2 linked regions of the Macaca mulatta genome follow. The protein of the gene in region 2 purifies or fractionates together with the protein of the main gene of each other region. This does not show direct contact. Links are inferred from orthologs where the notes say so. Each region holds a gene or a part of one and is shown on either strand. Other genes may lie near its edges.

Evidence for each region.
Region 1: the proteins of WDR59 (region 2) and SESN2 purify together in Homo sapiens (affinity purification with western blotting; 4 studies listed by BioGRID and IntAct, with this or other methods). This does not show direct contact. The link is inferred for Macaca mulatta from reciprocal best matches to the Homo sapiens genes WDR59 and SESN2.

The regions. Positions count from the first base shown.
Region 1 is NC_133406.1:212,659,532-212,671,045, forward strand, and holds part of SESN2 (sestrin-2), read right to left. Parts: intron 9,067-11,514; coding exon 9,001-9,066; intron 6,303-9,000; exon of another isoform or gene 6,266-6,302; coding exon 6,068-6,265; intron 5,667-6,067; coding exon 5,484-5,666; intron 5,370-5,483; coding exon 5,157-5,369; intron 4,638-5,156; coding exon 4,487-4,637; intron 3,955-4,486; coding exon 3,836-3,954; intron 3,170-3,835; coding exon 2,979-3,169; exon of another isoform or gene 2,547-2,978; intron 1,947-2,546; exon of another isoform or gene 986-1,946; intron 100-985; exon of another isoform or gene 1-99. UniProt on the Homo sapiens protein: Functions as an intracellular leucine sensor that negatively regulates the mTORC1 signaling pathway through the GATOR complex. In absence of leucine, binds the GATOR subcomplex GATOR2 and prevents mTORC1 signaling.
Region 2 is NC_133425.1:70,194,528-70,206,041, forward strand, and holds part of WDR59 (GATOR2 complex protein WDR59), read right to left. Parts: intron 10,041-11,514; coding exon 9,928-10,040; intron 8,562-9,927; coding exon 8,411-8,561; exon of another isoform or gene 8,347-8,410; intron 8,050-8,346; exon of another isoform or gene 8,006-8,049; coding exon 7,933-8,005; coding exon of another isoform or gene 7,929-7,932; intron 6,639-7,928; coding exon 6,512-6,638; intron 6,038-6,511; coding exon 5,895-6,037; exon of another isoform or gene 5,662-5,894; intron 1-5,661. UniProt on the Homo sapiens protein: As a component of the GATOR2 complex, functions as an activator of the amino acid-sensing branch of the mTORC1 signaling pathway. The GATOR2 complex indirectly activates mTORC1 through the inhibition of the GATOR1 subcomplex.

The sequences.
Region 1 (11,514 bases), on a different chromosome or scaffold from region 2:
TCTCTACTAAAAATACAAAAAATTACCTGGGCATGGTGGCGGGCACCTGTAATCCCTCCCAGCTACTCAGGAGGCTGAGGCAGGGAGAATTGCTTGAACCTGGGAGGCGGAGGTTGCAGTGAGCAGAGACTGCACCACTGCACTCCAGCCTGGGCAACAGAGCGAGACTCCGTCTCAAAAATCAATCAATTAATTAATTAATTTAAAAAAAAAAAAAAAAGCTGGGCATGGGTGGCTCATGCCTGTAACCCCAGCACTTTGGGATGCTGAGGCGGGCAGATCACCTGAAATGAGAAGTTCGAGACCAGCCTGGCCAACATGGAGAAACCCCATCTCTACTAAAAATACAAAATTAGCCGGGCATGGTGGCACATGCCTGTAATCCCAGTTACTCAGGAGGCTGAGGCGGGAGAATCACTTGAATCCGGGAGGCAGAGGTTGCAGTGAGCCAAGATCACGCCATTGCACTCCAGCCTGGGCAACAAGAGTGAAACACCATCTCAAAAAAGAAAAGAAAAGATAAGAAGGAGATAACTGATAACAATAAGAACAGATAGTATAATGGATAATTTTTATTTTATTTTATTTTTTGCTGTGTTGCCCAGGCTGGAGTGCAGTGGTGCAATCATGGCTCACTATAGCCTTGAGCTCTTGGACACAAGTGATCCTCCTGTCTCAGCCTCTAGAATACCTGAGACTATAGGCATGTACCACCTCACTCAGCTAATTTTTATTTTTTTGTAGAGATAGGTCTTAATTATGTTGCCCAGGCTGAGGCACAAACTCCTGGCCTCATGTAATCCTCCTGCTACAGCCTCCCAAAATGCTGGGATTGCAGGTGTGAGCCACTGCACCCAGCCTTTATTTTCTTTTTTGTTATCTGTGTTTTTCAATTTTATTTATTTTGAGATAGCGTCTTGCTCTGTTGCCCAGGCTGGAGCACAGTGGCATGATCTCAGCTCACTGAAACCTCTGCCTCCCGGGCTCAAGGGATCCTCCTGCCTCAGCTTCCCAAGTAGCTGGACCTACAGGAGTCAATAATAAATTAGTCAATTTTTGTTATTTTTTGTAGAGATGGGGTTTCACCATGTAGTTCAGGTTGGTCTCGAACTCCTGGACTCCAGTGATCCACCCGCATCAGTCTCCCAAAGCGCTGGGGTTATAGGTGTAGGTCACCACTCCCAGCTGAGAGTTTTTATTTTAAATAAAAAATTAATTGTTCAAGCCACCACTCCCAGCTGTTTTATTTTAAATAAACAATTAATTGTTCTACATATATGCTTGACAAGTAATTTCACATCTAGGATTTATCTACAAGGACTTATGCATAGATGCGTACATGGTGTTTGTAATAGTGAAAATCTGCAAACAACCTAAATATCCAATAATAGGGAAATGACTGAATGATCACAATACATCCATGCTCACAGATACCATGCAGTGGTTAAAAGCATAAAACAGGCTGAGTACAGTGGTTCATGCTTGCAATCCCAGCACTTTGGGAAGCCGAGGCAGGAGAATTGCTTGAGCCCAGGACTTCAAGACCAGCCTGGGCAATAGAGCAAGACCCTGTCTCTTTAAAAAAAAATAATAATAATAATAAAATATCTATTCGTGCTGATAAGGTAGTTCCCAGATAGAGAAAATTACAGGACATGTCAAATCTGATCCCATCACCTTACAAAAATCAGAAAAGATTTAACAAGCAAAAAGATGAAAATGTAATTCATCATATAATAGTATGCAGAGATATCACCACTAAACAGTATTTTAGTGTATAGCCTTCCATACATTTTCCATGCATGCACAAACTGTTTAATATACAAAAGAACATAAAGAAGATTTCTGTTGGTAATTAGCTTTCTTTTCTCTCAATACAATCTGAATATTTTCCCACGGAAATACAAATAGACATCTATTTTTTTTTTTTTTTTGAGACAGGGTCTTGCTCTGTCGTCCAGACTGAAGTACAGTGGTATAATGATGGCTCATTGAAGCTTTGACCTCCTGAGCTCAAGAGATCCTCCCACCTCAGCCTTCCAAGTAGCTGAGACTATAGGTGCATGCCACCACACAGGCAAATGTTTTAATTTTTTGTAGAGATGGAGGTTGCATTATGTTGCCCAGGCTAGTCTTGAACTCCTGTTTCTCAAGCAATCCTTTCACAATGCCCTCCCAAAGTGCGGGATTACAGGCATGAGCCACCAAGCCTGGCCTCTATTGTAATTTTTTTTTTTTTTTTTTGAGACAGAGTCTTGCTCTGTCACCCAGGCTGGAGGAGTGCAGTGGCGCGATCCTGGCTTACTTTAGCCTCTGCCTCCTGGGTTCAAGCGATTCTCCTGCCTCAGCCTCTTGAGTAGCTGGGATTACAAATGCGTACCACCACACCCAGCTAATTTTTGTATTTTTTAGTAGAACAGGGTTTCACCATGTTGGTCAGGCTGGTCTCGAACTCCTAATCTCATGACCTGCCTGCCTTGGCTTCCCAAAGTGCTGGGATTACAAGCGTGAGCCACTGCGCCCGGCCTATTGTAATTTGTAATAGCTGCATAATATTTCACTGAATAGATGTATCATTATTTAAAGTCCCCTACTGAGCATTTATGTTATCCTTATTTATTATGAGAGAAGAATTACTACTTGGAATGGAAATACAAACACAACTCTCTCTACATATATATATATAGTGTGTATGTGTATATGTATGTATATGTGTATATACGTGTGTGTGTGTATATATATGTACATACATATCAAACAATAGTTACCTCTGGGAGTGCAATTAAAGAGTTTCATTTACAACGTTCAAACAATGAGTACTATCATCTTTCAAAATCACAATTTGATTTGAAAAATAGTATAGGCAAGAAGAAAGGAAAAGAAAAAAAACAAAAACAAAACGAAAACGGAAACAACCGTGAACCCGGAATGAAGACTCGCAGTGCACATGTGCCCCAGGTGAAGGGACATGGGCTCACCTGATACCAAAGACGCAGTGGATGTAGTTCCAGATGGCCCTGCGGAGCACGGAGGTGTCCACCCCGCTGTGCATGGCGATGGTATTGTAGGTGAGGCTATAGGCTGCCTGGAACTTCTCGTCCAGCAGCTGCCCACCCTCAGGGTAGAGCCGCTGGATCAGTGAGTAGCCATGGTCTTCCCAAGTATAATCCTTAGGTAGGTGGGAAGGGATTGGTGAGTCTTTGGAGCCCAAGACCAGCCAGAGAGACCCCCTTCCTCTGTACCTTGGATCTCCATAGTTCTCCTTCCTGGTGCCATAAACCTAATGTGCTGCTTGCTCTGGGCCTCAGATGTCAAGGAAGGTACACTTTGGTGATGACCTTCTCCTTACGATCACCAACCCCTGAGCTTAGGGTATAGATGGGTTCCTTAAGGATTCACAGGGACCCCACTGCCCTCGTGGAATCTTGAGGGAAATAACGTACCCAACTCTATTTTTTTTTTTTTTGAGACAGGGTCTTGCTGTCACCCAGGCTGGAGCGCAGTAGTGCAATCACAGCTCACTGCGTCCTTGACCTCCTAGCTCAAGTGATCCTCCCACCTCAGCCATTCAAGTAGCTGGGACTATAGGCATGCACCACCTTCCAGCTAATTTTTAAATGTCTTTGTAGGGACGGGGTTTCGCCATGTTGTCCAGGCTAGTCTCAAGCTCCTGGGCTCAAGCAATCCTCCCACCCTGGCTTCCCAAAGTGCTGGGATTACAGGTGTGAGCTACCATGCCCAGCTGGGTACCTAACTCTATAACTACTCAAACTATCCACCCACTGCATGTTCGTAAATGTGGAGCAATGGCCAAGAGTAGTAGAGAGAGCCCCACCTGGGCCCGGAAGGTTGGGGGCGCCTGAGCCCCTCTCCGGGTGAAGTCCTCATATCCAAAAGTAGGATCTTCCACAAAGCACAGCATGTCTGGGTGTGGAGAGGGCTCCAGGATGTCAGCTGAGGACCAGAAAGAGGTCACAGTGAGGCTGGGGCATGGGGCATGCAGGCGTCCACTCCTGATTAATCACCAAACGGGGGAGGGGAAGGCAGAATAGAGGGCCAAAAAAGCCCCTTGCTATAGTGAGTGGGCAAGACCTCAGCTGGAGCCCGGCCTTGTGGAGGGGGTGGATCAGGCCCATGGACCCGTGAAGTGAGGCCCCTGGTAACAATAACTTAAGTGGAAGTTATTTATGGATTGGTTCCCCCTGGGCCAGGCTCTGTGCTAAGATCTTTGCTTCTACTGCCCCACTAACCCCACATAGCAATCCTGAAGCCCTGAGATAGGAAGTGACTCGTCAGTGGTCGCACAGCCAGAAAGGCTAGCAGTTCAGGATTCAAAGCAAGGTCTGAGCTCAAGGCCCAGGCTCAGAACCTCTTGGACGGGAAGCTGAGAAGCGGCTGCCTCTAGAACACAGGAGGCAGCTCCTCCTGACCAGAGATAGCCTAAGAAGGAGCAGCCCCAGGAGCCTGGATGCCTGTGATCCTGTACCTGAGGGGGTCACCAGCAGGCTCTCTGACTTCTCCAGCTCAAAGCGGCTCTCCATCTCCTCCTGGGACGTCCCCTCATCCCGCAGCAGGCTCTCCTGCAGCTGCCGCATGCGCTCCATCAGTGCCTCCACTTCACGGGCAGACTCAAAGCCCTGCAGGAGAGGGCCAGTGGTGACCAGCTACTCCTCCTCCTTCGGCCTCTGGGAAGCTCCACACATCCTTCCCACAGGCCAGGCCTTCCTAATGCTCACAAAGGCCTAGGGCATCCCCTGTGCCAGCCACTGTGCTGGACAGCGCATGGGTCTGTGCTTCCTAAAGTGACATTTATGAAGCTACAGAATAGACACAACTTCCCTGAGAGGAAATTTTTAAAGTGTCTGTATTTTTGTATTAAAACAAACAAGGCCACATTATTCAGTGAAAGGTAAACTTTGTAGTTTGAAAGTGCTAAAACCAACAGCCTTTGAGCCTCACAGCCCAGTGTGAGTAGAGGGTCTTATCTCCCCATTTCACAGATGAGGAAACTGAGCTTCAAAGTCAAATAACTTTTCTATGGTCTCTCACAGCAGCAGGTAGTGCAGGCACCAAAGATTGGGAAGCAGTAGCTTCTACCTAAGGACCAGAGGTCATGCCTGCTTCCTCCCCGATCAAGACCCAGGCCCATGACTTACCCCAGAGTTGTTCAACGGGTCCCTGCTCGGGGGACTGCTCTGCTCACTGGGGGGTGTAGGTGCCTGGGGGGCAGGGCTGCCATCTGCATCCCCCTCAGGGAGGATGCCACAGCCAAACACAAAGGACGAGAGCGAGTGGCAGTGGGTGAGCAGGACCAGAGCCTGAATGAGCTCGGCCAGGGACCAGGTGTGCTCGCCGGTCTTCAGCAAGGCCTGGAGGGGACAGAACGGGAGGTTAGAGCTGCTCAGTGCCTGCCCTGGGCTACCCACCAGGCACCAGCCAGGCCTCTGTGCTCCCTCAGACACCCGTCTCTCTGCCCCCTGCACCTGGATGTGCTCCTTGGTGATGAGCCATGGCCGATGCGCCAGCAACTTGTTGATCTCGCTGAGCTTGCGCAGCTTCTTGGGCACCCGGTGGAGGCCCAGCAGCCACTCAGGGTCACCACCGGTCTGCAGAAACTCGGCCATGTGGGAGCCTACCAGGTAAGAACACTGATGGCGGGCGGCAGCCTGCGGAGGTAGTGGACAGAGCCTGAGTCACCCTCCTCCCTTGGTGCCTGGCTCAGGGTGGGTACCCCATCAGGGGAGAGGTTGTAGGGCTCACTGTTGCCCAAGAGGCAGGAAACCTAAGTTCTAAGTAACCCCAGCTCTGCCACCAGCTTGCAGGCCACCTGATTCCTTTTTGCACCTCAGTTTGCAAGCACTAATGATGCCTTTCTTCAAAACCTAAAATTTTCCTTCCAAGAAAAAACCAAAAACTCTACAGTTATAGAAAGCCAGGGCTTTCCCTGCTCTATGCCGCCTTCCCTCCTTGTCTATGGAATCAGTTCACAAAGCTCCCAGAAAAGAGATCAAAGGACAGAACCCTCCACAAAGCCACCTCTCCAAGTGTCAGGCCCAGAGAGGCTCACCATGATGGCAATGTAGTGGCGCCAGGAGCTGGCCAAGGGACCATCCGTGTGCAGCAGCAGGTAGTGCAGGCGCCAGAAGCTGGTAAAGTAGTCAGGGTGCAGGCCCATCACCACTGCCAGGTTGTCCACTCGCCCAGAGGACATCAGTGCCTCCAGCCCCAGGTGCTGCTCGAGGCTCTCGGTCCCCTCCCGAAGGACCTGCCAAGCAAAGGGGAGGACAGCATGGGTTTCCCTCCTGCCCCACTCATCAAAGAGACCAGCGTATTATTCCAGTGGGTTTCTAATGGCAAGAAAGTAAAAACCACCACCATGTCCAAAAAGAAACAATGGGAAGAATCAGATATTTTAATAAGTCACTCAATGAATACTTGTTACGTACCTCATATAATAACGGCCAGTACTTACACATACGATGCTATGTGCCAAGTACTGTTCAAGCATGCATATTTTAACTTATTTAACTCTCACAACAACAAAACTGGAGTTCTGTTTCTCCATTTTTAGGTAGGAAAACTCGGGTACAGAGAGTAAAAGTACGGTTTCTCCTCCCTTCATGGAGCATCTATTTTTTCTTTTTTTTTTTTTTTGAGATAGAGTCTCATTTTGTCACCCAGGCTGGAGTGCAGTGGTGCAATCTTGGCTCACTGCAAGCTCTGCCTCCCAGGTTCACACCATTCTCCTGCCTCAGCCTCCCCAGCAGCTGGGACTACAGGCACACATCGCCACACCTGGCTAATTTTTTGTATTTTTAGTAGTGATGGGGTTTCACCGTGTTAGCCAAGATGGTCTCGATCTCTTGATCTTGTGATCCACCTGCCTCAGCTTCCCAAAGTGCTGGGATTACAGGTGTGAGCCACCGCGCCCGGCAGGAGCGTCTATTCTAACACCGCAAATGCATATAACCATGGGGGCGGGTGCAAAATAGTTCACATTTCCTGAGTGCTGTCTCCATGCCATCTCTGAGCTTACGGTTTTCTCTGCATGATGTCATGGGATCTTGCCAATAAGCCTGTGAGGTGAATACTATTATTTCCCCCACTTTGCCAGATGAGGAAACCAGGACGTTTTGTTCCTTGCTCAAAGTCACAGATCTTACAAATGACAGAATCAGATTCAAATTCAGATGAACTCCAAAGCCTATTTGGTTCTTCTTTTTTAAATACAGACAGAGTCCCACTATGTTGTCCAGGCTGGTCTCGAACTCCTGGGCTCAAGTGATCCCTCTACCTTGGCGTCCCAAAGTGCTGGGATTACAGGTGTGAGCTACTGCACCTGGCTGCCTGTTTCTTTTCTTTATTATAAAAGAGTGGACCAGGCACGGTGGCTCACACCTGTAATCCCAGGACACTGGGAGGCAGAGATGGGCAGATCGCCCAAGGTCCAGAGTTCGAGACCAGCCTGATTAACATGGAGAAACCCTATCTCTACTAAAAATACAAAATTAGCTGGGCGTGGTGGCGCATGCCTGTAATCCCAGCTGCTCAGAAGGCTGAGGCAGGAGAATTGCTTGAACCTGGGAGGCAGAGGTTGCGGTGAGCCGAGATCGCGCCACTGCACTCCAGCCTGGGCAACAAGAACGAAACTTCGTCTCAAAAAAAAGAAAAAAAAAAGAGTGGTCATTTATAAATGAAAAAATAAAACACAAGAGCAATACCTGAGCTTGGAATTATGGGCCACAGACATAAATAATCAGCAAGTGGTTGTTCACCTTACATTTACCAAGGAGTGGAGGAACAGGGGGGTTTAGAGGGAGGTTAAACGTTTGTTACCTCATTAACTACTCGCCCTACACATTCAGGGAAAGCAAAGAGGAGAGGAAACAAAATTTTTCTTTTTTGAGACTGAGTCTCACTCTGTTGCCCAGGCTGAAGTGCAGTGGTGCAATCTCGGCTCACTGCAAGCTCTGCCTCCCGGGTTCACGCCATTCTCCTGCCTCAGCCTCCCAAGTAGCTGGGATTACAGGTGCCCACCACCACGCCTGGCTAATTTTTTGTATTTTTGGCAGAGATGAGGTTTCACTGTGTTAGCCAGGATGGTCTCGATCTCCTGACCTCGTGATCTGCCCGCCTCGGCCCCCCAAAGTGCTGGGATTACAGGCGTGAGCCACCGCGCCCAGTGAAACAAAAAATTTGTCCTTGTTCACTGAAGGCCAAAGAAAATGAGGAAACTAGTTTTACCTTTTTCTGCATGTTTTGAAGGTACCTCCGCTATCCCAACACACTAGAATATAAGCTCCATAATGGCAAAGATTTTTGTCTTGTTCACTGCTGTATCCCAAGCAACCAGAACAGTGCCTCACACAGATTAATCATTCAATAGATATGTTAAGTAAATGAATGAATGAACTGACTCAGTAGATGAAGGATGTCTTTCTTGTATTAAGTGAAAAACAAAAAAAAACAAGTTGTAAACTATCACCTTGGTTCTGTACTGAAAGTAAGTATTGGCTTGAACAAAGCACAGTAAACAGTGGCAAATGGTTAACAGTGATAATCTCTGGAGGGTGTAGGAAGATACAGGAGATCAGAGCTTTCTGAAACAATGGAAATTTTAAAAATAATAAACATATATTACTTTTGAAACAGAAAAGAACATGTACAGTCACGGATGAGAAGATAAACACAGATAGTTCTATCTTCTTAAGGGAAACAGGCACTGATCTAGGAATCGAAAGTTTGGCCATGCAAAAAAAAAAAAAAGTTTGGCCACTACCTGGCTATTAGCACTTGATTTCTTTCAGCCTGTTTCTTCCCAGTAAAATGAAGTTCATAGTGCCTGCTTCACAGAGCCGTTTTGTGAATTAAATGAATCAGAAATCAGAAAGGAATAGTTTAAAAGCTGTAATTTAAGGAACAAGAAAAGACGCCTGCCCACCAATATGCCATGTCCTTTCTTCCTAGGGAAAAAAGATCCCTAATCCCTTCCAAGCTTACCTCCTCCACGGGGATGAAGGCGCTGGGCCCTCGAGGGCCTCGCCGAGCCCGACTCTCCCTCTGCTCCTGGGGGGAACACATGGAGGTCAGTCCGCAGTAGAAGGGAGAATAAAGAGGATTATTACCTATCCAGCTTCTTCCTCCTATCCAAGGGGCTCCACTGAACTGTTAAACCCACCTTTCTAGCATCCTTTGGATGGCGGAGCCAGGTGGGAGATAAATGCACGTTTGGAAGGGTAAGCAAGAAAGAGGGCTCACTCCAGGCTGAGTTCTTCAGGAACTGGGCTGGGACCCAGGAATCCCAGCATGTGGGATGGGAGGGTCCTGGAGAAGGAACTATATAGCCACCATGCTGCACATCTCCAGGAGGCCACCTTCTCAGTGGTCCCAGAGAACTTATACAAGAACACCCCAGGCCGGGCGCGGTGGCTCACGCCTGTAATCCCAGCACTTTGGGAGGCCGAGGCGGGCGGATCACAAGGTCAGGAGATCGAGACCACAGTGAAACCCCGTCTCTACTAAAAATACAAAAAATTAGCCGGGCGCGGTGGCGGGCGCCTGTAGTCCCAGCTACTCAGGAGGCTGAGGCAGGAGAATGGCGTGAACCCGGGAGGCGGAGCTTGCAGTGAGCCGAGATCGCGCCACTGCACTCCAGCCTGGGCGACAGAGCGAGACTCCGTCTCAAAAAAAAAAAAAAAAAAAAAACAAGAACACCCCACAGTTTGCACCCCGAAGCCAGGTAGCCAAGTACCCCAGATGCCTCAGAAGCAGCTTCAATTTCTCTCACATGTTCATTCATTTCTTTCTTCTTCTTCTGTTTTTTTTTTTTTGAGACGGAGTATCGCTCTTGTTGCCCAGGCTGGAGTGCGATGGCGTGATCTTGGCTCACTGCAATCTCTACCTCCTGGGTCAAGCGATTCTCCTGCCTCCGCCTCCCAAGTAGCTGGGATTACAGGCATGCGCCACTGCCCTCGCCTAATTTTTTATTTTTATTTTTATTATTTTTATTTATTTATTTATTTATTTTGAGACAGAGTCTCGCTCTGTCGCCCAGGCTGGAGTGCAGTGGCCGGATCTCAGCTCACTGCAAGCTCCGCTTCCCGGGTTTATGCCATTCTCCTGCCTCAGCCTCCCGAGTAGCTGGGACTACATTAGCTGGGACTACAGGCGCCCGCCACCTAGCCCAGCTAGTTTTTGTGTATTTTTTTAGTAGAGACGGGGTTTCACCGTGTTAGCCAGGATGGTCTCGACCTCCTGATCTTGTGATCCGCCCGTCTCGGCCTCCGAAAGTGCTGGGATTACAGGCTTGAGCCACCGTGCCCGGCCATAATTTTTTATTTTTAGTAGAGACAGGGTTTCTCCATGTTGGCCAGGCTGGTCTCAAACCCCCGACCTCAGGTGATCCGCCCACCTCAGCCACCCAAAGTGCTGGGATTACAGGAATGAGCCACTGCAACTGGCCCCTTCTTCTTTAGTGATGCAGTCATAGCTTACTATAGCCTCAAACTGCTGGGCTCAATGGATCCTCCTGCCTTGGCCTCCCAAAGCACTGGGATTACAGATGAGAGCCATCATGCCTGGCTGCTTATCTGTCCTCCCACCACCAACACCTCATCAACTAACACCCTCTCTTGTCTGGACCACTACTCAGAGCCTCACCAGTTGTCCTCCGGCCTCCTCAGCCCTGGCCTTTCCTATCCATCCTCTACCCAGTAGCCACATTAACTTTCTGAATATAAATCTGATCAGCTGACTTAAAATCCTACCTCCCCTTCCCATGGGCTTCCAGATAAAATTACTGGCCCAGTCCTACTGGTCACTCCTTTTGCAAAGCTAAACCATGGCATCTAGGAACCCCTCACCTATGACCCCAAAATTCCCAGGGTTTTTGCTTCTAAAAACACTGTCATCAAATTGTCTGTTTTGTTTCCCTGCTACCAGATCACATTTAGTGGACAGCAGTGCCAGGCCATTCATACTAGCCTGTGAATGAAGACAGAGAAAGCCGAAAGGCATGGAGGGAATCCAAGCAGGGTGTCCAAGGCTGATGGAAGCAACCATTTTGACCTGTATATGCTGGAGCCTCTTTAGAAACCACTAAAATCATGTACTCACTACATCTGCTTCTCCTAGTCCTAGAGATGGGGTTCAGGAAGGATGCTCTACGTATTCATTTATTTTGTTAATCTGAGAGTGGAAGCGGCTCTCAGCACTGGCCTTGGTTACAGTTTACCCAAATCAGAGCCATGCCCTCACTGGACAGGGATAGGAGGCGCCCAGTTCTCCCCTCCCCATTAAGATGTAGACTTAGTACCAGCCCTCACGTATCTGGGAACTAAAAACTAAAATTGAACCTTCCTTCTCAGATGGCCAAAAGCCCAGTGAGGAGGCAGAGCTCTGGGACTCCAGAAGACTACAAAGTCTCTGGAGTAGGTACCAATTCTGCAACTAACTTGCTATGTGGCTCTGGGAAAGTTAAAGGCCTAAACTCTCTAGGCCTTAATCCTGGTAGGT
Region 2 (11,514 bases):
CCTGCTGTGTTTATTTTAAATATCATCATTCTGAACCAAGTATGTTACAGCGTCTTGTCTTTAGGCATATAATAACTTATGCTTATATCGAATCACCTCTGACAACTCTTTCTCAAAATGCCTTTTCCCAAATTTGGAAAAATAAAGCTCTCACTGTCTTCACATGTCGGCTACATGTAGAACTCTCCAGATGACAAGTGGCCAACACTACAGATTTGTTCCCTCACTATAGGAAGGAGGGAAGCCAGAAATGACTGCGAATGTCTGGCATTCTCTATACTTTTAATAGTTTAGCATTATTGTAAAAGCTCTTGTATTTGTTAAACCCACAATATGAGAAATCAAATAGGGAAGTTCAACCTCCCTGGGGAACTTTACTCAAGTGCAAGATTATTAATGGGAATTTTTCCACAACTTCTTTCAAGATCAATAGAAGGATACTCATGTCTGTTACAAAGACTGGCATATCTTTCAACAAATTTATTTTTTAAACTTATGTTTAAAATGAAAATACAGTACTTGGCCGGGTGCCGTGGCTCTCGTCTGTAATCCCAGCACTCTGGGAGACCGAGGTGGGTGGATCACCTGAGGCCAGGAGTTCGAGACCAGCCTGGCCAACATGGCAAAACCCATCTCCACTAAAAACAAAAAAATTAGCTGGGCGTGGCGGTGCACACCTATAATACCTGGAAGGCTGAGGTAGGAGAACTGCTTGAACCTGGGCGGCAGAGGTTACAGTGAGCCAAGACTGCACCACTGCACTCCAGCCTGGGCAACAGAGAGAGACCTTGTTCCCCCCACAGCACCCCCTCCACGAAAAAAGAAAACAAAACTAAAAAGAAAATAGAGTACTCCTTTCGTTTGGCAGTAACCTTACAAACATTTTACGGGATGAATTAAAAGAGCCTGGAGATTTGTCAATATCCTCAGAGTCCAAAATATTTTAGTGTTGGGGAATCACTAACTGAATCCTTAAGAAATGATTACGTGTTTTTCTGCTCCATACGATACTGTTATCATAAACTAGCCAGAGCCATTTCGCATTATTGCCAACTGCCAGTTTCTGCTTTTGCCTCACACTTGCCTAAAGTCACCTGCTATAAACAATAGGTCAGAAATAGAAACTTATAGAAGACATGTCAAAATAAAGCCTCTTTAGGCACTAATAAAGGTACTCTTCACTACTGATATTACTGAAGATTCCTGAATACCAACTTTCCAAATAAGCTGACACCAGCCAGAAGCAGTTTCTCATGCCTGTAATCCCAGCACTTTGCGAGGCCGAGGTAGGGGTATCACTTGAGCCCAGGAGTTTGAGACCAGCCTGGGCAACATGGCGAGACCCCATCTCTACAAAAACATTTTCTAAAAAATTAGCCGGGCATGATGGTGTATGCCTGTGGTCCCAGCTACTCGGGAGACTGTGGTGAGAGGGTTGTTGAGCCCAGCAGGTCGAGGCTGCAGTGAGCTGTGGTCATGCCTCTGCACTGCAGCCTGGGTGACAGAGTGAGACTCTGTCTCAAAAAACAAACAAGCCAAACACCATTGCCACCAGGAGACACTTGTCAGGCTGTGGAATGGATCAGGATTTCTAGGACTTTTTGGTTCAGAAGCAGATGACTTTAGTGAAAGCAGATGGGTAGAGATTCCAAGATAATTAGAACAAGAATTACTTAGCAGAGACTGAATACAACTGATGGAAAAATTTAATTCTGGCTAATGATCTATTTTCTACTAGAAAGGAGAAAACATTCTTTCCTTTTTTTTGCTCCATCTCTACCCCTCAGTTTAACACATGATAAACATTGAAATGAAACACTCTGACAATGGTATCTTATTCCAATTACCTTCAGGAGGAAAAAAAATCCAAAAAAGATCTTAATAGAGACTACAAGATACCAAATCATTAGGAAACCTTAGAACAATAATTCCATAGGAAATATCATATGTTGATTAACCTCATCTGCAGAAGTGCTCAGAACAATGGGTAAGTACCACACAAAGGCCTTTTCTTTCCATGACAAAATATTTATACAGGTTCAGTGAGTCTGCTGGGGCTGGGTGTGGCGGCTCATGCTCCTAATCCCAGCATGCTGGGAGGCTGAGATGGAAGGATCACTTGAACCCAAGAATTTGAGACCACAATGGACGACATAGTGAGACTCTGTCTCTATTTTATAACAATTTAAAAAATAAAAAATAAAAGAAGCTGCCCTCCTCCTTATCACGATATACATGGATAGATCAAATTTACAGCCAAGGTCATGCCCAAAACATCACATTTAGATTCAAATCTCATTTAAATTAGGTATGATACGGCCAGGCACGGTTGCTCACGTCTGTAATCCTAGCACTCTGGGAGGCCGAGGCTGGCGGATCCCGAGGTCAGGAGATTGAGACCATCCTGGCTCACATGGTGAAAGGCTGTCTCTACTAAAAATACAAAAAAATTAGCCGGGCATGGTGGCGGGCGCCTCTAGTCCCAGCTACTCGGGAGGCTGAGGCAGGAGAATGGCGTAAACCCGGCAGGCGGAGCTTGCAGTGAGCCGAGATTGCGCCACCGCACTCCAGCCTGGGCGAAAGAGCAAGCCTCCATCTCAAAAAAATAAATAAATAAATAAATAAAATAAACTAGGTATGATAAGTCATTATGAAGGGGAGGAGATTGCTTCATATGTGGACATGCAGCCCACAAGTCCTCCCAGGAAACTTCTTTGGCTTAGGGAATCCCAGCCTTGTACAAAGTACAGATGTCATTTCCTGACAGGCCAGAAACACTGACTACCCTGAGGATCACAGGTAAGAGGCACAGGACGACAGGATAGGTTTTGCCAGTGAAACTTGATAGGGATGAAATGAATCATTCTTGGGTCCTAACAGACAAACTAACAAAGACCATAAAAATACTCCCAGCACATAGAACAATCAAAGCATGATTCCAAGGCTTTTCAAAACTTCCAGGAGGAAGCGAATTCCAAAGGTGCAGGATCATATGGCTCCAGTTTGTCAACCATACAACAAAAAGTCTTGTGTATTAATCAACATCACCTATTACACAAAAGTAAATAAAACTGGCCAAAGAAATAAGACGTTAAATTAATATACTGAACCAATAAACTGCTGAACGAAATTTAGGTGAGCAGCTCTGTGCCTCTAGGGAGGGAATTCTCCCCATGAGGAGGCTGGGAAAGCAATCGCTTTGCTCTGCCACCATTAAGACCAAGCACATCACATACCACAATCAGAAACAAAAACAAAAACATCATCTTATATCCTGAGACTTTCTTTAAGGGAATACTCTATTTAACAGTATCCCCATAAAATGAATGAAACCATGAGCCCCATCTGTAAATACTGAATCCCAATGAAACTAACTTTGTCCCTCAAATTTGCTATGCTGAAGTCTGTGGATATGGGATGATCAAGGAGGTGGAGGTTGCAGTGACCCGAGATTGTTCCATTGCACTCCAGCCTGGGCGACAGAGCGAGACTCCATCTCAAAAAAAAAAAAAAAAAAAGAGAAAGAAAAGAAAATACTTCTTTTACTGCTTTTGTCTGTGAGTCCATCTTTTACAATCCTGCCCTGCTTTATAAACCTTGTGACATTGCTTTTATTGAAGTTAGGATACATTATTCATCCTTAACTACCATTAAGTCTTCCTGAGTTTGTATTTCAGACTCTCTGACTGCACTACAGACATCTTGACCCGCCAAACCACACTTTTTATTTCTTTGTACATCCCACAGAATCCAGCATGACACTTTATAAAAGCAGATGTCAATAAGGGTTTAGCTAACTGATGGGCTGATACATCAGCTCTGTATCTCCATGATTCATGTTTTCCTGAAAACTAATTTTTAAAAGACAAATTGCTCCAGGCCATCATTAATCTTTTCCTGAGATACTTTCATACATTTAGATGCTCTGAAAAAATGTTGCCCACATAGCATTTTGTGTCTTTACATTTCTTCAGGTACACATACCAACATAATCTCTGTTAAAATAATCCTTGAAATTCACTACCTAAACCTACATATTACTCTAGTTTGTTTCTTCAAATAGAAAGTATGGTGTCTCACATCTGTACTCCCAGCACTCTAGGAGGCCGAGGCGGACGCATCATTTGAGGCCAGTAGTTCAAGACCAGCCTGGACAACATGGCGAAACCCCGTCTCTACCAAAAATACAAGTGGTATTTGTATTGTATTTTACTATCTCAACTAAAAATTCCTATTAATTGTATTGTATTTTAGTGTCTCTACTAAAAATACAAGTGGCATGGTGGCGGGCGCCTGTAGTCCCAGCTACTTGGGAGGCTGAGGCATGAAAATCGCTTGCACTTGGGAGGCAGAGGTTGCAGTGAGCCGAGATCGCGTGACTGCACTCCAGCCTGGGCAACAGAGACACACTCTGTCTCAAAAACAAAAAAAAGAAAAGAAAAGAAAGGAAAAGAAACTATACCTACACAATTTAAGAGAGTCAAATCATTCTACGCATCTTATTACAAAACCCAGCATTCCCTGCCACTGCCCACCTCATCACTCCCTAGATGAAATCTTTTCCATTCATTTAACTGTTTCTTTTTTGTTGTTGTTTTTTGCTTTCTTTTTTTTGAGATGGAGTCTCACTCTGTCACTCAGGCTGGAGTGCAATGGCATGATCTCGGTTCACTGCAACCTCTGCCTCCTGGGTTCAAGCGATTCTCCTGCCTCAGCCTCCCAAGTAGCTGGGATTATTGGTGTGCGCCACCATGCCTGGCTAATTTTGTATTTTTAGTAGAGACGGGGTTTCACCATGTTGGCCAGGCTAGTCTCAAACCCCTGGCCTCAAGTGATCTGCCGGACTTGGCCTCCCAAAGTGCTGGGATTACAGGCGTGAGTCACCATGTCTGGCTGAATCCGAATTCTTTACTGCAACTTACAAGCCCCTGCCTGACACAATCCTAAGTACTCTACACTCTAATTTGATACCGCTCTTCTCCCCACTGTACTCCAGCCACACCACGCCACCTTCCTTCGCTTGTTCACAACGACAGTCATTTCCCTGGGGCCTGACCCTCAGTGTGGGACGCTCTTTTCACCACTCTGCACTGATGGCTCCATGGTTCCTTTAAACCTTCAGACCGCAGCTCCTTGGAGGCCTTCCTAACACACCTCAATTCCTCTCTTAAGATTCTCCCTCTCTGTTCTCCCTGCCCCCACATCGTTTTTGTTTGCTTGTGAATATTTATTTGAAATTATTTAATATCCCCCCCCACTCAGTTGTAAGCTCCATGCAGGGAAGGAATGTGTGGGCACTGTGCCTAAGAGGAGTTGGACACATAGAGGAATAAATGAAGAAATATCCATCCCTCTGATCCACGCTGGAGTACTGTATATAAACTACTTCTATTGCAATAGAAATTTCATCCTGGACCAGGCGCCATGGCTCACACCTGTAATCCCAGCAATCTGGGAGGCCGAGGCAGGCATATCACCTGAGGTCAGGAGTTCGAGACCAGCCTGGCCAACATGGTGAAACTTCATCTCTACTAAAAGTACAAAAATTTAGCTGGGCATGATAGCAGGCACCTATAATCCCAGCTACTTGGGAGGCTGAGGGAGGAGAAGTTTGAACCCGGGAGGCAAAGGTTGCCGTGAGCCGAGATCGCACCACTGCACTCCAGCCTGGGCGACAAGAGTGAGACTCCATCCCAAAAAAAAAAAAAAAAAGATTTCATCCTGTTATGAAATGCAAGGGCTTTTCAGAAGCTTGGAATGGACTCAAAATGCCTTTGAAATTTCTGCTTAGAAATGAGAAGCTGAAACTTCATTCCAAGTCTGATGCTGTGGACAAATTAAATTACAGGATCTTTCAGACAGTGATAGGAAGAGAGAGAGAAATGCATACTCACCGATCCCTTTGTGAGGGTCAGGAGGACAGGAGACAAACTTCAACACTTCGGCTCGCTTCTCTCTCAGACCCCAACGGTAGAGGATTTCCCCATAGCATTTCTTAAAGTCATCAAATTGCTGGGTGTTGGCGGGGTCCAGGAGCCTAGAGAAAGTGAAAAAGATTTCCTGTCAGTTCCTTTAAGAAAAAATGAGCTTGATCCTAAATGGCACTTAACATGCCCTTCTTAAAGCAACAGTCCTGGCCAGGCACGGTGGCTCACACCTGTCACTCCCCGCACTTTTGGAGGCCGAGGCTGGCAGATCACTTGAGGTCAGGAGTTTGAGACCAGCCTGGCCAACATGGTGAAACTCTGTCTCTACTAAAAATACAAAAAATTAGCTGGGCATGGTGGCATGTGCCTGTAATCCCAGCTACTCAGGAGGCTGAGGCAGGAGAATCACTTGAGCCTGGGAAGCAGAGGTTGCAGTGAGCTGAGATTCCGCCACTGCACTCCAACCTGGCGACAGAGTAAGACTCTGTGTCCAAAAAAAAAAAAAAAAAAAAAAGGCGCAAGAGTTGTGATTGTGGAGAAACTGGAGTCCTGGCATCGCAGCTCTCACCTGGGAGGGTGGTTACCTTTTATTTTTATCATGCTGGTCGCGTTCCCGCTCCCGGGGATCACTGCAGGTCAGACTCCCAAAGCGGAGCTCTTCCGGTGAGGATTCTCCCCAGGGGGAGGACAAGTGCTCTACCTCTCTCCCCGCTAAAGAAAATCAAATGCGAAGGGAAGATGGCAATCAGAGAAGGCATGGAAAATATCTGAAGTCTCATAAGACCGCGTGTGGCCAATGGATTTCCCAGAAGAAAAGTAAGTGAGGCTGAATACTCTGAGAAATGTAACTAAACAGAACTCTTTCCTACCCTTACCTTTTTGCCCAGGTATTTATTACTAAGAGAACCTGATAGCTAAGTACACACACATGATGCTAAAGCAAATGATGGGCTGGGCATGGTGGCTCATGCCTGGAATCCCAGCACTTTGGGAGGCCGAGGCGGGCAGATCACCTGAAGTCAGAGGTTTGAGACCAGCCTGACGAACATGGTGAAACCCATCTCTACTAAAAAAAAAAAAATACAAAAATTAGCTGGGCATACTAGCACGTGACTGTAATCCCAGCTACTCGGGAGGCTGAGGCAGGAGAATTGCTTGAACCTGGGAGGTGGAGGGTGCAGTGGGTCAAGATCACGCCATTGCACTCCAGCCTGGGCAACACAGCAAGACTCCATCTCAAAAAACTAACTAACTAAATAAATAAATAAAGCAAATGATGGCACAGAGATATAGTGGAATGTTATGTAGTCATTATTTACAAAGACTTTTTGAACAATATTTGCTCATGATTTAATAAAAAATAGAACACAAAGTCACATATATGGAATGACCACACTCCTGCACACAAAGAATGGATGGAAATGTTCTAGAACGTTAATGGACGCTATTCCTAGGTGGGAGATCAACGATTACAATTTTCTTCTCTAATACTTCGTGTTTGCTTTTCTTCACTGGGCATGAGCTACTTTTGAAATCAGGAAAATTAAGATCATTTTAAAAAACTGTTTCTTAAAAAAATTCCAGGAAATACAAATACACCTACTCCGCAAATAGCTTTATGATCAGCTGGAGTCAGATCCAGCTGTATTTGTCTACACTGAAAGCGTTTGTGGGAAGGAGTAGGCGGCAGATGAACATGGAAAGGGCATGTGAAGGAGAAAGGATAAGGGTTGGATTTTGGGGGTGAACAGCGGGAAGTCCCATTGTCAGTTTCTCAAGGTTATGAGATGAAAAGCAATACAGCAAAAGGCACAAAGACCCCCAGAACGTGGCCTGTTCAACCTGCAAAGCCAGGCCTCCAGCAAGAGGATCCCTATCACAGTACATGTAAAGAGAAATAAGAAACAAGAAAAAATATGGAGACTAAGCATCAACTAAAGCTTACATATGCACAGCTATCAGAGAACTAAAAATCCGGCGTGGGCTAAGTCATTTCCATACAAACCTATGTTCCAGCCGCCAGTGCTGAGCCCTGGGTCTGACATACTGGAGCACGAACCGGAAGAGGTAAAGCTAGGCTACAGATGGAAAGAGAAGAACCAACAGGACTAGCATCAGAATACTGTTCCCCATGACAGTTCACATTAAGAAAACAGCAGGCCAAGCGCGGTGGCTCATGCCTGTAATCCTAGCACTTTGGGAGGCCAAGGAAGGCAGAACACCTGAGGTCAGGGGATCGAGACCAGCCTGCTCAACATGGTGAAACCTCATCTCTACTAAAAATACAAAAATATACTGGGATTGGTGGTGCATGCCTGTAATCCCAGCTATTCAGGAGGCTGAGGCACGAGAATTGTTTGAACCCAGGAGGCAGAGGTTGCAGTGAGCTGAGATCGTGCCACTGCACTCCAGCCTGGACAATAGAGTAAAACTCCATCTAAAAAAAAAAAAAATCAGACAAAACCAGAAAAGGACAAACTTACATATCGACTATGGGACACCACAAGATTAGAAGAACGGTTGGGAAAAGGCCCAAAGGGGTTTGGTATCCCCTGAGGCCGAGACTGGGCTTCGAACACGCTACAGAGCATTGCCAGTGTCTGGACATCCCGGAGCCGGCAATAGTGAGCCAACCTGAGGAAAAGGTGAGAGGAAAGAAGACAAGTCAGGAGGAGGGACTGAGGGGGAACACGATCACAGTCATGGCGTGTTACTGTCACGGGGTGGGATGCGAGGATTCTTGATTTGGCCTCAAAAACCGTCAGGAATGAGGGCTTTCTACAGATCCAGTGGTTTGACCTACTTTGAGTTTGCCTAAACTTGTTTTGGAATATAAGACATCGACGTATTACAAATGATCTACAGAACGCATCTCAAAGCCTCTGGCTAACACTCAGGCATGGGCTTAAACATGAATTGGCTTCTCCAAGAATTAAGTGGACTAACCTGACATCTGAACGAGCCAATACACGCTCTCTGTCCTCCCAGCTCCAAGGAAGAATCACACTGCTTTTGGGGGATTCCCATACATGCCATTTATATAACCTAAAGCTACATGGAGGAGCCCAGAGGACACTGGACCACCACAGTATGCTAGCAGGCAATCGACTTTGGAGGTGCAGTTATGAAGATGAGCTATTAGGTAAGAACAACAAGGAGTGTTTCTACTCTTTAGGTACTCATATCCCCTTTGTCCTTTCAGGAAGATTAGGCTAGAATGTGAGTAAGGAATCAGAGGGGCTTTGCCTTTAAGAATGAATAATATTACTGTCTTCCTATCACTCAATGTCTAATATTTGTGTTTTCACACTCACTATCTTATTTGAGTCTTACACGAAGTAGGTAGAGCAAACCTTATCATCCCTATGTTAGCGACAAGGAAACGGAAGCATGAACACGTGTCCCAGGGGTGGCCTTAATGCATAAATAAAACCTCAACCTGAAGGCAGGAGCGTTTCTCTCCCCAGGCCCTGGGCCTCCAAGTTATGGAGATTCAAATGGTTTTACTTCGTGTTAAATTATATTGTATAGTATATTCCAGTTTGCCACATGTCAGTGCAATAAACTGAACACAAAGGCAGTGTTTTCTCGAATTGCCTAACAGGGTGAAAGTGTCGTGGTCTCTGGCAAACATGAACACCAACACACAGTTCTCAAAGGTGAGACCCTAGAGCTTTCAAGAAGAAACTTACCATATCATGAGCTCAAACTCCTGTGTTCAGACTGACGTGATCTGTGGACTAACGCATGAATCTCTAAAGGATACATGAGTCTCAGGGGTCTCAAATCCTTGTCATAAATGACAAGTATTGTATAGTTCTGTCTGCTGTAAGAAGTTTGTTCTGCACAGAAATTATTTCAGCACTGAAAGGAAAGATCCTACTCCTTCCTTTCATTCCTCGGGCCTCTGCACCTTTCTCTTAGGTGATGACATTTCAAGTGTTCACAGACCAAAAACGGACATCACTCATTTTTCTCACTTTTAGCTCTCATAACCTACAGGGACTCCAGCAGCTGCCGCCCAAATGGATGTCGAGCCCAGGGTGTTTCCAAATCTGGGTCAGATTTCGGACCAAGGCAAAGATCTGTAGCTACCGTAGCCAGCGACCAAACCTGGACAGATCAAAGAGAAATACAAACTCAAACTGGCAAGGACAAGAACCGAAACCGTGAAGCAACCCCATCTGTCTTCCATATAAAACCCGATGCCTTGCTACTCTGGGGGCAGCAAAAGCTGGAACCTTATTGAAATGCAGAAGTTTAGGTCCCAGTTAGTTCTACTGAATCAGCGTTTACATTTTCACCAACTCCTTCGGGGAGTTAAGCGCACTCTAAAGTTTGAGAAACACTAGGCTTAAAAACTTCTCATTAAAAGCAAGCTTCAGAGAAATGACACAGTGTAATAATTTCAATGGGTCATCTACTTAACCACTAACTCACATGACCTTTTATTTTATTTTACTTTTTTGAGACAGAGTCTCGCTCTGTCGTCCAAGCTGGAGTGCCGTGGCACGGTCACGGCTCACTGCAACCTCTGCCTCGTGGGTTCAAGCCACCCTCCTGCCTCAGCCTCCCGAGTATCTAGGATTACAGGCATGCGCCACCACACCTGGCTAATTTTTGTATTTTTAGTAGAGATGGGTTTTTGCCATGTTGGCCAGGCTGGTCTGGAACTCCTGGACTCAAGTGATACGCCCACCTCAGCCCCAAAAAGTGCTGGGATTACAGGTGTGAGTCACTGTGCCTAACCTCACATGACTTTTTAAAATGCTGCTTCATCAGTAAGTGGGGTTGGCAGGGAGGAAAAAAAAGACAGTCTGTAACACATTTAAGATCTGTCCTTCTTTACCTGAATAATGAAAGACTTTGTTGCCTTCATTATAAAAGTTTCAGTATCCTCTCTGAAGCTAAAATGTAAGAATAATAAAAATAGGCCAAGACAAAATGGATTTGGCTTTCTTTTTGTTGACATCAAATCTGAGGAATATCTCCCGACTTGAAATCCCATGGGGCCTGGAGCCATCGAGCAGAAACCAATAGCCACTAAGTGTCTATTTAAGTCCAAGGCATAGGCTACACCCATCATGTCATAAGCAAAGCCCCCACCCCCACAATACCTTTAAAAATCAAATACAGCGGACCCCGTGGCTCACGCTTGTAATCCCAGCACTTTGGGAGGACAAGGAGGGCAAATCACGAGGTCAGGAGTTCGAGACCAGCCTGGCCAATATGGTGAAACCCCGTCTCTACTAAAAATACAAAATTAGCTGGGCGTGGCGGCACACGCCTGTAGTCCCAGTTACTTGTGAGGCTAAGGCAGAAGAATCGCTTGAACCCAGGAGGCAGAGGTTGCAGTGAGCCAAGATTGTGCCACTGCACTCCAGCCTGGGCGACAGAGTGAGACTCCGTCTCGGAAAAAAAAAAAAATCAAATACTATTGTCTGGAAAACCTTTCTTAGTAGCAGCACATCACTGTATACCCATTAACTGGAAAACATTATACTAGACTCTGAGATACTCAAAAGAAAGAAGATATGGACTTTGAATCAAGGAGTTTGCAATCTTAAGGAGAAAGAATAGGCAAACA